Oryzias latipes: one gene and its partner. The protein of the gene in region 1 interacts with the protein of each later gene in a biochemical or structural test. Links are inferred from orthologs where the notes say so. Each region holds a gene or a part of one and is shown on either strand. Other genes may lie near its edges.

Region 1 (6,538 bases):
CTAACATATCTGTGGTTTGATTTGAATAAAGACATTTTCATATTCAATGTGAAATGACCGGACTTGGACGGGGTCATTTGGGTGTGTTAGTCCAAGTACGTTTGGGCATGGCCTCTCACTGGTTCCTGTCCCCATCTCCTGACCAGCTGTTTCTTCTCTGTTGACTTTAACTCCATCTGCTTCTTTTTCTTCAGCCTGTGTCTCCTTCAGGGGTGTCAAACTCCAGGCCTTGAGGGCTGGCCTCCTGCTGTTTTTTTCAGAAATCCTGCCTCATCTGCTGTTGATTACCTGGATCAGGTGTGTTTAGCCATTGAGGAGCTTCAATGGCAGGTTAGTTAGAAAAAATGCAGGACTCCGGCTCTTGAGGCCTGGAGTTTGACACGTGCAGTTTCCATCAATCTCCCTGTTTCAGTGGAACATCATCATCCTCCTTCTCTCCTACCTCGCCTGACCTTTCACTCTCCTCAATCTGAGAACAAAGCACACTTTTGCTTTTACATTCATCTGTTATTTTATTAGCCATACTTGTCGACACCAAGGTTGTTAGACTTAACTAAAACTAAACTAAAAACTAAAACTAGTAACCTGATAGTAGTAAAACATTTTATTTTACTGAAAAAGAAATAAAACTTAAAATGGTAAAAATGAAAACTTAAAAAACATTAAAAACTGAAACAAGTAAATCCAGACTAGAAAAAGCCTGAAAGTTTAAACAAACAAACAAAAAAAACCTTAAAACCAATACAAAATTATATTAACCCTGAAAAACACTAATGAAAATTGAATGGTTATTAAAAAAAAAAGATTGAATAGAAAAATAAACAAGTGGTTCATGCTGGTGGTCTCTTTGCTGTTGGTTCTGGATCCTCTGCCTTTAGCCTCATTCAGCTCCTTTTTCCTCTCTGTCAACCTCTACTCCTCACGAGGCCTGTCAGCACATTAATATAAACCCAGAGGAATTCACTAAAAATCCGATGCACATAAACTATGCAGGAGCAGATACCTGGAAACCATCCTCCACCTGCTCACCTAAAACATAGACAAGACAATCAGTCGTGGAGCGCGCGCTCACTTCAGCCACCGTACTCGCTCCGCGGCCGTCAGCCGACACCGCAGTCGCGCGCCCGAGGTCATGGGGTCAACCAGCCCAACAAAATAGAAACTAAGTGAAAGATCTGCGGGACATTTCAATTTCCTGCCTACTTGTATAGCGCGCTGCACTCCAGCTCTGCTTCAGCGCGTGAAGGGGTGGGCTGGGGCTGCCTGGTGTATGTGAGGGAGGGGCATGTTCATCAAAAGTTCTAAATTGATCTTTTTCGTTTTTATGAGTTATTATTAATTGATGGGTGGTAAATTAACGTGTCGGAAAGGCTTTCACATATGTAAATGGACAAAAAACACCTTTGACAAAACGGGCACCTGGGAAAAAGGGGCAGGTGTTTGAGGACCCTCAGTGACCCCTTGCTTCCTGGACGTGGACTGCAAAAGGGATTTTTAAATGATCTTTTCCAACAAGCAAAGACATTTAGACGCCCTAAATTTTTTTCTTGACAATCGATCTTCAATTTGATATAGCTTTAGAGTAGGCCCAGTGTTTAAAAAGAAAATTCTGGCTGAGGATCAAGTTATCTAAATAGTTTTATGGCATAATATTCAATGACTTTAAGTTAGAGTTTGTTAAATGTGGGGCCTAATTATCCCCATTCGATCCTGTTAAGTATGTCTTCAAAGAGAAGTACTAATGTTGTTTGTTTTTTTTGTTTTTTTGTCAGCACTAGTCTCGTTTTTGCCACTTTGTTGCTCTCGAAAAATAAAAAATGAAAAGCACTGCATTCTTCATGCATTGCAAGGCACAGAAACCCTTTAACAAGTTTGAACTGAATTTTTCTGTTAATTACAAGCAACTGTTTTTGCATTTTATTGCAAGCTGTTAAAGTTTCATGTGACGTGGAAACTGTTGAAAGCCCATCTATTGACAAAAAATAAATAAATAAATAAATAAATAAATAAACAAAAAGATGACAGTATGCTTGCAGCACAAAACTAGCACAGCAGAAATAAAACATGTAATAATTGTTATGCAAATTTAATCAGTTGCTCCATTAAATGCAGTAGGCCTAAATGAGAGGTTGGTTTCCCCATTTTTTTAAATTAATACATAGTATTTATTACATCAGTATTTGTGGTTTGTGATTGTGAACATGCAAAGCTTTCAGAAATGTTATTTCTATCTTCGTTCTTAAGCAGTTGCAAGGGGAAAGGGTTAAAGGGGAGACTTTTGTATATCCATAAGGGAAAGCATGAGTGATATGACTAATGGGGATTTTGTGTGCTCCTATTAGGCATTCTTTTACTTCCTGAACGAATGTTTTGGTTCATGAAATGCATTTCTTGTTTGTACACTTGCATTCAGATGCTTAAGGAACAAAAAAACAACAACAAAACAACAACAACAAAAAAAACAAACACCCATGCTAGAAACATCCATTCATTGTCTATTGAGTGACTACATTGTAATTTAAATCCCCGTTTTTTGACTTCCAGGCATCTCCTTGTGCAACACTGCATATAATTATTTATTCCAAATATGTACCTAAGTATGTAGCCTACATATTATATATATATATATATACACATATATATATTTTACATTTTACTTACAGCAGTTAATTTATCGTATTGGCAAAAATGATAAAACGCTGTCCTATATTACTACGTTGCCAATACGCAAAGCTTTATTGAACCCGGAAGATCAAACTCAGGACACTGGCGTCATGGTCCATTTCCGGAAGATCGTTTCAGCTTTCCTACAAGAAAGAAAATGGAATCCTGAGATCGCTTTCGGTTAACCCAATCAATTTTAAGAGAATATTAATCTAAGGACGGTTTCCTTTCATCACACGTCTACTATCAACATCCTACAGGTAATATTATTTTGTCACACATTACATTCTATTAATTGTATTCATACTGAATGTTTGAGCTCGTTCTGATTGCTAACGTCACCGGTTGACGTCGCTTGCTGTGTTAGCTTCTGGTGATGCTATTAGCTAAATGTACATGTAACTACTGGTCGATATAGTAAATACACCGCAAAAAACGTCATTAATGTCTAATATTTATTTTTAGCTTCTAGACAAAAAGTAAAAATGAACTTGGTTAAGAAAAAAAACTTTGGATATGTTAAAGAAACACTTGGAAGCACGCTAAGTAGCCAGTAGCCTAGAAGTTAAGTAGCCGACTAGCTAACAAGGTTAGCTTGTTTGTCATCTTATAGTTGGGGTTTATTCTATTTTAAAAACATAAAAAATGTATGGACCTATTTAAATTTAACGATTTAACTCTATGGTGATCCTTCACAACATATGTTGGCCCCTTTTAATTGTAGTAATGTGGTTAGCAACCCAACCCAATGCTAATTGGTTGCTAGGCTGGCTAAAATGTACGATGCCATTTTGTTTTTATCTCGACTTTGACCAACGTACTGTCTTTTTGTTGACGTAAAGACACGGGGTTTGCGGTATTAGGCTTTTGTTTTTTGTTGACTGGCAGCTGTGCGTGTAAATGGGATCGAAACTGAACTATTTGAGTGAGGAGAAAATCAGATTCAGACTGCTTTTGTTGTGTAAATATTGCCTGTCATTATGGTAAATGTGCCGTATTGGCTTTAGAGTAGCTGCAACGTCAACATTTACAATGATGTTTCTTAGATTTGTTCTTTTCTCGTTTAACGGTAGCACAAGTGGTATTTAGACTTGTCTGCGTGGTTTTTAAGGGGAAAAAAACACCACGAGGCTTTCGGCAGAGGGAAGTCACTAACGGAAACCTACTCTGTTCTGCGGCAGCAGAATCTTGCTGTTAGTTCGAAACCATCCCGCTGATCACCCCTGCGCATCATGGAAGGGTCTGACGGTGTCGAACAGGGTGGCAGTGACCAGCCTGAGTCACAGCGCAGGAGGCAGCTGGATCGCCTGGACAGAGAGGAGGCCTTCTACCAGTTTGTCAACAACCTCAGTGAGGAAGACTATCGGCTAATGAGAGACAACAATCTTTTAGGCAATCCAGGTACAGATGAATGAAAATTATAATTATCATAATAAATTTTACATTTGCTTTTCGTCGTGTACATTTTTAACGGTGTGTAGCACTTGCATCTCTTGATCTTTTGTGTCTTTATAAACTTAATCCTCTTGGCAATGTTGTCATTAGTAAAACCACAATAAATTATCATATCAGTCACTTGGATGTTACAACCTCACTTATTATTTAATATTACTACATTCAATTGATAAAGACTTACAAATGTTATAATAATTCAGTATTACTTTGTATCCCCTGCCTCTTTATTAGTTATGACATCTGTAGAACAACTATGTAAGCTTTTAAAGTCCCCATCCGGACTTCTTTTGCTCTATTATAAAAGCGTTCCTAGTGGTCTTTCAATTATGATTATATGGTTCTTAGGCAAAAAAACAAACATAAAAACCAGTCGTTTTTTTTTTAAGACGATTTCATTAGACTGTTGGCATGGAGTGAGGCTGCCTTAATTTTCCATCATCCCTTTGTTTATGTGCTTTCCCGCTAGCTTACAACCCCAAATTAACGTTATTGTGGATAAAAAATGATGGAGTTAGCCTGCCATACAGTTTTGAGTCAGATGCCAGCTCAAATGAGGAGAATGAAGCCGTACATGGATCTGTATAACAATAAAACAGAGCATGTGGCCATACGATTATAGAGTTTACCTAACAACCACAAGCTTTTTCAAATTGCATTTTTTTGTCTGCTCCTTATTCTCACTGATTTGAATAAAAAAAATGGAGAGGAAGTATTAATTTTAAATTATTTGTACTGTATCCACCCTCGTGAAAAAAATGCTACAAAAACATGAAAAGAAACACCAAAAACACAATTTTTCTTAGAGTGAGTGTTTACAAATGTAATGTAGGTATCATTTTGTATAGTCAAGACTCACAAGATGAATTTGGCATTTATAAACACAGATCTTAGTTGAATGTTACATACTTGTTTTGTTTTAAGGGCATTTAATGGCATTCCTCTTTTTAATGTGTTTGCATTCCTGAGTATGCTCGAAATGCAACAGTCAGCGAGCAGTTGGAGATGTCCAGTCTCTGTCTGTCCTCAGAGTGAGAGGGGGAAAGTAAGTTTGGACCTTTAATGGGGTATCCTTCAACTTAGAGGGGAAGGCAATAGATGGAGATTGACTTGCCCTGGTAAGTCTGGAGGCTTTTCCTGCTCTTCTGTTGATGTGTTCAAAGACAACACAACAGTGAGGAGAGTACGACACTTGACATGAGTTCCTTTTTGGTAGGAATATTTCATAAAATACAAAATCAATTCTGTAGCTTGAACATGTCCCAGGTGACTTTTTTTTTTTTTTGATTTGAAATGGTTTATTTCAAGCAATCAAATAGGACTTCATTTCTTTAAGCTCATTAAACCTTTTTATTGTAGAAGAATGAAGCTATTATTTTTGTTTTCCCAGATGGTCTTTGGTAAAAAAAAAACTAATCCAAGGATTTTCAAGAAAATAGAAATGTCTTGGTCTTAATTTTCTCTCATTTATATTGCAGGAGAGGTCACAGAGGATGAGCTGATTAGTCGTCTTCAGCAGATCAAAGGTGGTCCGGAACAGCAGAGTAACAACCCTGCTACTGAGAGTACTGAAGAACCAGTTGGTAGGTATTGTTTTTTTTCTCTTTTTTTGTTGCTTTAAAACTTTCTGTCAGATTGAAATTTTTTGTTTTGTTTTGTTTCCCAGAACAACCAGAGAGCTCTGAGGATCCTCCAGGTGGGGATAGCCTTCTTGATTGGCTGAACACAGTGCGACGCACAGGCAACACAACCAGAACCGGTCATCGCGGGAACCAGTCATGGAGGGCTGTGAGCCAGACCAATCCAAACAGTGGCGATTTTCGCTTCAGCCTGGAAATTAGTGTGAACCGCAATCTGGCTGAGCAGCAGGCGGCTGCTGAAGCGGAGCAAGAGCCTCCAGAACAGCCTGCTGAAGGTCAAGATGTGTCTGTCGAACCTGAAGCACAGGTTCCCATGGAAGCAGAAGTGGTGGAAGAACCAGTTGTTGAGGAATTGGCCGTCCTTGTGGAGCCAGAGCCTGAAGTAGATGAAGTAGTTTCACATCAGGTTGTAGAGGAGCCTTCCAGTCCACCAACGCCGCCGCCTCCACCGCCTCCTCCTGTTCAACCCCCTCCTTGTTCTTCTCCACGTAGAGGACAGAGAAGAGCTCGCAGCCGCAGCCCAGAACCACGCAGAACTCGTGCCCGCCTTGCTAGGAGCCGGTCCCCTCTCAGCTTGGATCAGCTTGATGGCATTCCAATTCCGAGACATGATTACAGTTCTCAAAGCTCGAGTTCTTCCTCAAATACTCCCACTGTGCCTCCAGTGGAGGGCAGCTCTCGGACTCGACAGCATATTCTTTCACGTCAGAACTTTGCTGAAGGGGACGTTTGGCCACCCAGAGCTCCTGCTGAACCCGTCCCAGAGTCCCCAAATGCTGGGT
Region 2 (5,958 bases), on another chromosome or scaffold:
CATTTAAATGCGGCAGAGTTGTGCACAGTCAAGTTTTATCTCCCCATCTGTTTGCTGGAAATTTACTGTGCAGATTTATGCAATGAGGTAGTGCATTTTTTTGTGCAAAAAAACAAACACGTTTATTTAACTTATGTCAGGGTGCAATTACTTGGGCAGCATCCATTTAGGTGATGGTTTTGTGTTTTGTCGTGTTGGCGAGCTGATATGCAAAAAGGGTGCAGATGATGCCAGTATAGGCAAAGACAGGGAGATGTATTAATTTATGTTAAATTAAATACTTCTATGCAGTGTGTGTATTACTATATTTGATGCAAGGTCTGTAAACAAAGAATTAAAGGCCTTATTATAGTTTTTTTTTCTTGCACAAGAAGTGGATATAATAAGAAAACACATTTTGACTGACTCTTAAAACACTTGGCTTAATTCTTTAACCCAATTTATTTATGTTGGGATATATTTTTGTGTTACTTTATTTTATTTTTTTGCAATAAAGTTTTTTTTGTTTTAGTATAGCTCCATTTACCCAATTTTTCTTTTTTCTTTTTTTGGTTTTTGAGGTTTTTATTTTCCTGAGTTAGAATAATACATTTTAATATATGTTAAAAAAAACAACTTCAGTTATTTTTAGGAGTTTTTGGTCTGCATGAATTGAGGAATACTCATTCATACACAAAGAAAATAACCTATTTTCATTTGGAGCTCTGCAAAATTATAGAAATGTTTATTACCTTTTGGAAAGTTTGACCTTATGGTAAAAATACAGTTAATAATTTTCCTTTACTTGTTTATATTCTGGATTTATGGTTGCAGTGACAGCGTGGTATGATATATTTTTTGTCATTTCATTTTTTTAATATACAAATTCTATCCAAAATATTTCATGTTGATGTTTTTATTTTTCTGAAGTCTGACACTCTTGTCTTTCCTTCAGAGGCAGACTCGACTGCAAAAAGGCCGCGAACAACCATCACTGCTAAACAACTGGAGACATTGAAAAACGCTTACAATAATTCCCCCAAGCCGGCCCGCCACGTCCGAGAGCAACTGTCGTCAGAAACAGGCCTGGATATGCGGGTGGTTCAGGTATTATTATCCTGTTTTCATTAAACCTGACTTCAGAACAGAGCTGTGGGAACAAGTGCGCATGCTGGTTATTGAATTTACGGTCAGATGAGGTAGAATGAAGTCTGCATGAAAGTCAGCTTGGTTTAAGTGCACGGTCGTTAACAATGCTAAGAGGGGTCCCCCACATATTGTCTGCTGCTTAGGAGCCTCAGAGTGGCTGCTAGGTGTTGGGTCATATATATTGTTTTATTTGCAAGGACAAAAGTAAGGGTCTGAGACCACTCAAAAGCTCCTCATTATGTTAGGGAAAGGGCTTTCTCAAGGTGGAACATCTTAAAGGGGGACGTAAATTCTTGTTTATGTGAGTGCAAATGACTGACTTTGCATGTAAAATCAAAAAGTTTCAATTAACACAATTGAAACAAGTAAACTATGGTTTTTGTGTCAAAAGTTAGAGTGGAAAATTTGGACAAATCCAAGTGAAAAATGTGAAAATGGATCTGCTCCTTTAGGGGAGAGTTACTTGCAGTGGAAGTTAATGAAACGCGTGATAAATGTAATATAAGAGAAGCTGGTTCAAGGATTACTGCCCCATGTCTCCCTCTGGACTCTGAAAGGCAAGCAGTGGTGTCTAGACAGTCTCTGAACATTTATTTTGTCCTAATGCTCTACATCCTGACACATGTATCAGGACCATAAAAAAAAACTATGCTTGGTATATTTGTCCTCAGGACTAAACAGGAAATCAAGCAATTAATTACTAATATTTAAAATATGGATTTTAATTTCCTCTGAGTGTTTCAGAGCACATTATGATCAATAAATCTTTGAAGTATTATTTTTCCATAAACACATGTAATATTGGTAGATGCACTGCAAAAACAACCCCATAGATATAAGTCAAATTTTTCTTTAATTCAGCAAAAATATGTCCAATGGGGTAAGAAAAAAATGACTTACCAAGAATTCTTATTTTAAGAAAAAAATCAAGTCACTAAGATATGTTTTCTTATATCTTCTTGCAAGACATTCTTTTCTCAAAACAAGGGCCTTTCTACTTTCTAAAGATTGAGATTTTTATAGTGTTGTTTGTCTGATCAATGACCGACATTTTGTTTCCTTTTTATTTTTTATTTTTTTCTAGGTTTGGTTCCAGAACAGGCGAGCTAAAGAGAAAAGGCTGAAAAAGGATGCAGGGAGGCAGCGATGGGGACAGTACTTCCGCAACATGAAGAGGTCGCGAGGAAGCTCCAAGTCCGACAAAGACAGCATCCAGGAGGAGGGCATGGACAGTGACGCGGAGGTGTCCTTCACAGGTAGGGTCACAGAATAAAATTAAGCAAAAAAATAAATACCTGAACGTGACACATAACCGGCACACTTTAAACTCTTGGTTGTGTCCAAAATTCCTTTAGTGCACTATGTAGATTTTCCATTTTGTCTGGATGTCCGAATCTACAATTCCAAAATCGAGTGCCCTTGATATTTCCCGGAGGTCTCTGTGAAAGACAGGTGGGCATTGATGCTCACTATTGGTGAATATAGACCGCAATGCATTGCGTTTGAATGATTTGTTATTTAAAAAGAATTATGTTTGATTTTTTTTTTTATAAATTATCTAAACTGTCATCATCAGAACACAATGGATTCAGAAATAGCCTTCGTACTATGTTCATATGTTTCAGGGTTTTACTTCGCCAAATGGGTGACGTCATATTTTCTATTTAATAAAAAAAAAAGTGGTGAGCATGTGCTCAAACTGGATTAAAATCCAGGGCACTCGTGGCCCCACACTAAAGACTAAAGTCTTTTAGGGGTTAAGGGGTGGTGAGGGAATTTGGACGCAGCCTAGAACTCAACAAATTTCTTTTTATACTTTTTTCTGGTGCTTTCTTTTGACAAGTTTTCTCGCTTTGAGCCTTTTTTTAAGGAAATCGTAGATAAACACTAGATTGTCAACATTTGTTAGACAGAGTTTCCATCTTCTGTTCTAAAAACGTTCTTGGAAAAGCTGTACTTACAAGGGAACACATCTAAAATTGATGCTTCTGTAAAACTCAAAAATTTGCCATTTTAGTTGTTTTTTTGTAAAAAAAAAAAAAAAAAAAAAGTAAATTCATAAATGCAAATGTATTTATATTTTAAGCCCCTATACAAACTTGAATGATGAAAAGAGCTAGCACACTTATTTATGTTTTGGCACAACCTATAGAAAATGGTCTCCTTTTTTTTTGTTTGTTTAACCAACCCTTTAAGGAAACTTTTTGAATTTCTTTGCAACTGTGTAAACAATCTTCAAGGGTTACAAAAGAAAACTATACATGAAGAAATGCAACCACGTATGCTATTTTCATCATGATCAACACATTGTGCTAAAAAATATTGGATGAATGAATAAATATCCAGCTTTGGACAATTAGTTTACACAGTGTAATTGGGAATGCATTTTACTACAATTTTTCCATATTTTAAAATAACTATAATTGTTCTGAATGCAAAGAAAAACAGATGATGATTGCAAGAAATCAACAACAGCCTAAAATGCTTAGAAACAAATAATTTGTGTCACTAATGTATAATAGTGTTTTTTATTTGAAATGTAAAAATAATATTAAAGACAAAGAATGGGAAACTCTTTTCACTAATTTTATTCTACCAAGTCTAACTCATGTCTTTAACTTGTTTTTGTCGCCCAGATGAACCTCCTGTTTCAGAGCTTGGCAATGCCAATGGCATTTACAGCAGTCTGAGCGAATCGTCTCCAACGATTGGGGGCCGCCAAGGGGGTAACAACCACAACTCCTTTCCATTGGAGCACGCCGGGCTCCCCTCTCAAGACCAGTTCCATGACATTCGCTCCAACAGCCCCTATGGGCTCCCTCAGTCTCCGAGCTCCCTGCAGGCACTACCCCGACACCAGCCCATCATTTCCAGCCTAGTCTACCCGGACTCTGGCCTTTCCATCATGACCCAGGGCGCTGGGCCTGGTATCAACCCCACCGTCCGGGTTTCCATGGGAGCAGCCAACGGCCCCAGTTCCGACCTCTCCACCGGCAGCAGTGGGGGTTATCCAGATTTTCCTGCCAGTCCTGCGTCCTGGTTAGATGAAGTTGATCATGGCCAGTTTTGATCAGAAACATGACTCTTTTCATTTAGCTTATATGCTGGAGGCGGAAAAATGATGTCATTAGACCTTAACAGTCGCAAACTGAAACACCCAGTCATTTTTTTTTTTGTGATCTAAATGGAGGAAATAAAGAAAATGCCCCTCATTCAAAGCACTTGAATTAATCATTGTTGTTTTATTGTATGCAACATAAGCAAAAATAAATAAAATCTAAATTTTAGAACCACTATAAGCTCTTTTAGAACAAACTGAGTTCTTTGCGTTATTTTTTTTTTATTGCTCTTAGTTAACTGTTCAAGTGAAGAACTTGAGTCAACATTGGGTCTTTACATGTCCGGTTGTTGCCAAATGTCAATATATAAATATATATTAATGGTTTATCATCACATAGACTTTATTTTTATATACCCCCACCCCCCTTTCCTCCTTGAATGTGACTGAAAACCTAGAATTTTGTTCATTCTTAAACACGGAATTAGGCAGAAGTCTAGATGTTGTCTTAAATGGTGCCTAGGTGTCCAATTACTTCTATGCATTTGTCTGTTGCAGATGTTTCTTGTTCGTTTCGTTCCACCAGAAACAACCCCAAGGATGAACTGTAACTGCTGAGGGGGGGGCGCTCTGATGTATATGTTTGTTTATGTGGAAAAAATGTTTTATGTATTATTTATTCTCTCTGGTAATGTTGGTAATTCATAAGTGAATTGCAGGATTTTAATAAATTTGTCACCTAATTCAACAGGAAGGTTTGTCATTTTTGTTGTTGGTGCAGAACAAAAATTGTATGGAGGAGACAAGGTGAATGAGAGAATAACTAAAATGAAAAAAATAAAGATGAAATCAGAGGGATTTTTAACAGGATTTTTTTTTTAAAGAGCATTTTTTCAAAAGTTATACTATTCACTCAAATCACAGATCGTGGGCATGATTTTGACATCCTTAATGTCGGCGGCATGCAGCAACCTTTATCTCTGGCAATGAAACCAGAACGAGCCTGCAGTCTTCACTGTATCTGCAAATTGAGCATTTGGCCAACTCCCAGCACTGTATCGGGGGTTCAACAGCTCTTTAGTGGAGAAATTTGATGCAGTCCACTCATCAATTCAGAGATTACTGGGTCCTGTTTGCCCAAATACCCCTATGGGAAAGGAATCTGCAATCCATTATCCAAGAAGGGATCGGGTGCCCCTTGTGAATTTCCTCATTTGTTTAGTTATTCCAAGTCAGGTTCAATTAAATAGATTAAATGGTAAATGTGTGTGTGCGCCTCTGTGTTTGTGTGAGAGGGAGAAGGTGACCACATGTCCGTGTGTTGCTATTAATGAGTTCCATCAAACAAATATCGTAATAGATGAAAGTACAATTAAAAATGAACTCAATATTTTGTCTTGTGAGGAAGTTGTGTTGGAATTGTTTTCAAAATCTTGTTAGCTTTCATAAAAATTGGTTGATGGATTTTAATTAGTTTGCAAATTTCTTGCTTTAGTTTGCCAATTTGTGTTTGTTTGTTTTCTAAGTTTGTGTGGTAATATTTTATTGTGCGTGCTCTGCATCAATTTAAAACAAAAGACTGGATAAAAATGAACAATTTTAGACAACGTTTTTCATCTTTTCTTAGAATATAATGTCAGTCTAACTTGTCAACATTGATTTCACTGTAGAAAAGCATCCCTAAAGCATCCCAAAAATTGCAAAAATGATTTTGACTCATCTTAGTAATGAGAAGAAAAAAATTCTTGACTGTGTTGATTTTAAGGTTTCGA

Evidence for each region.
Region 2: the proteins of rlim (region 1) and lhx3 form a complex in vitro, tested with the Homo sapiens proteins (2 studies listed by BioGRID). The link is inferred for Oryzias latipes from reciprocal best matches to the Homo sapiens genes RLIM and LHX3.

What each region holds. Positions count from the first base shown.
Region 1 is NC_019868.2:17,951,566-17,958,103, forward strand, and holds the start of rlim (E3 ubiquitin-protein ligase RLIM), read left to right. Parts: upstream 1-2,768; 5' UTR 2,769-2,924; intron 2,925-3,775; 5' UTR 3,776-3,896; coding exon 3,897-4,065; intron 4,066-5,594; coding exon 5,595-5,699; intron 5,700-5,782; coding exon 5,783-6,538. UniProt on the Homo sapiens protein: E3 ubiquitin-protein ligase.
Region 2 is NC_019870.2:10,782,391-10,788,348, reverse strand, and holds the end of lhx3 (LIM/homeobox protein Lhx3), read left to right. Parts: intron 1-934; coding exon 935-1,089; intron 1,090-2,212; coding exon of another isoform or gene 2,213-2,221; coding exon 2,222-2,384; intron 2,385-3,764; coding exon 3,765-4,198; downstream 4,199-5,958. UniProt on the Homo sapiens protein: Transcription factor.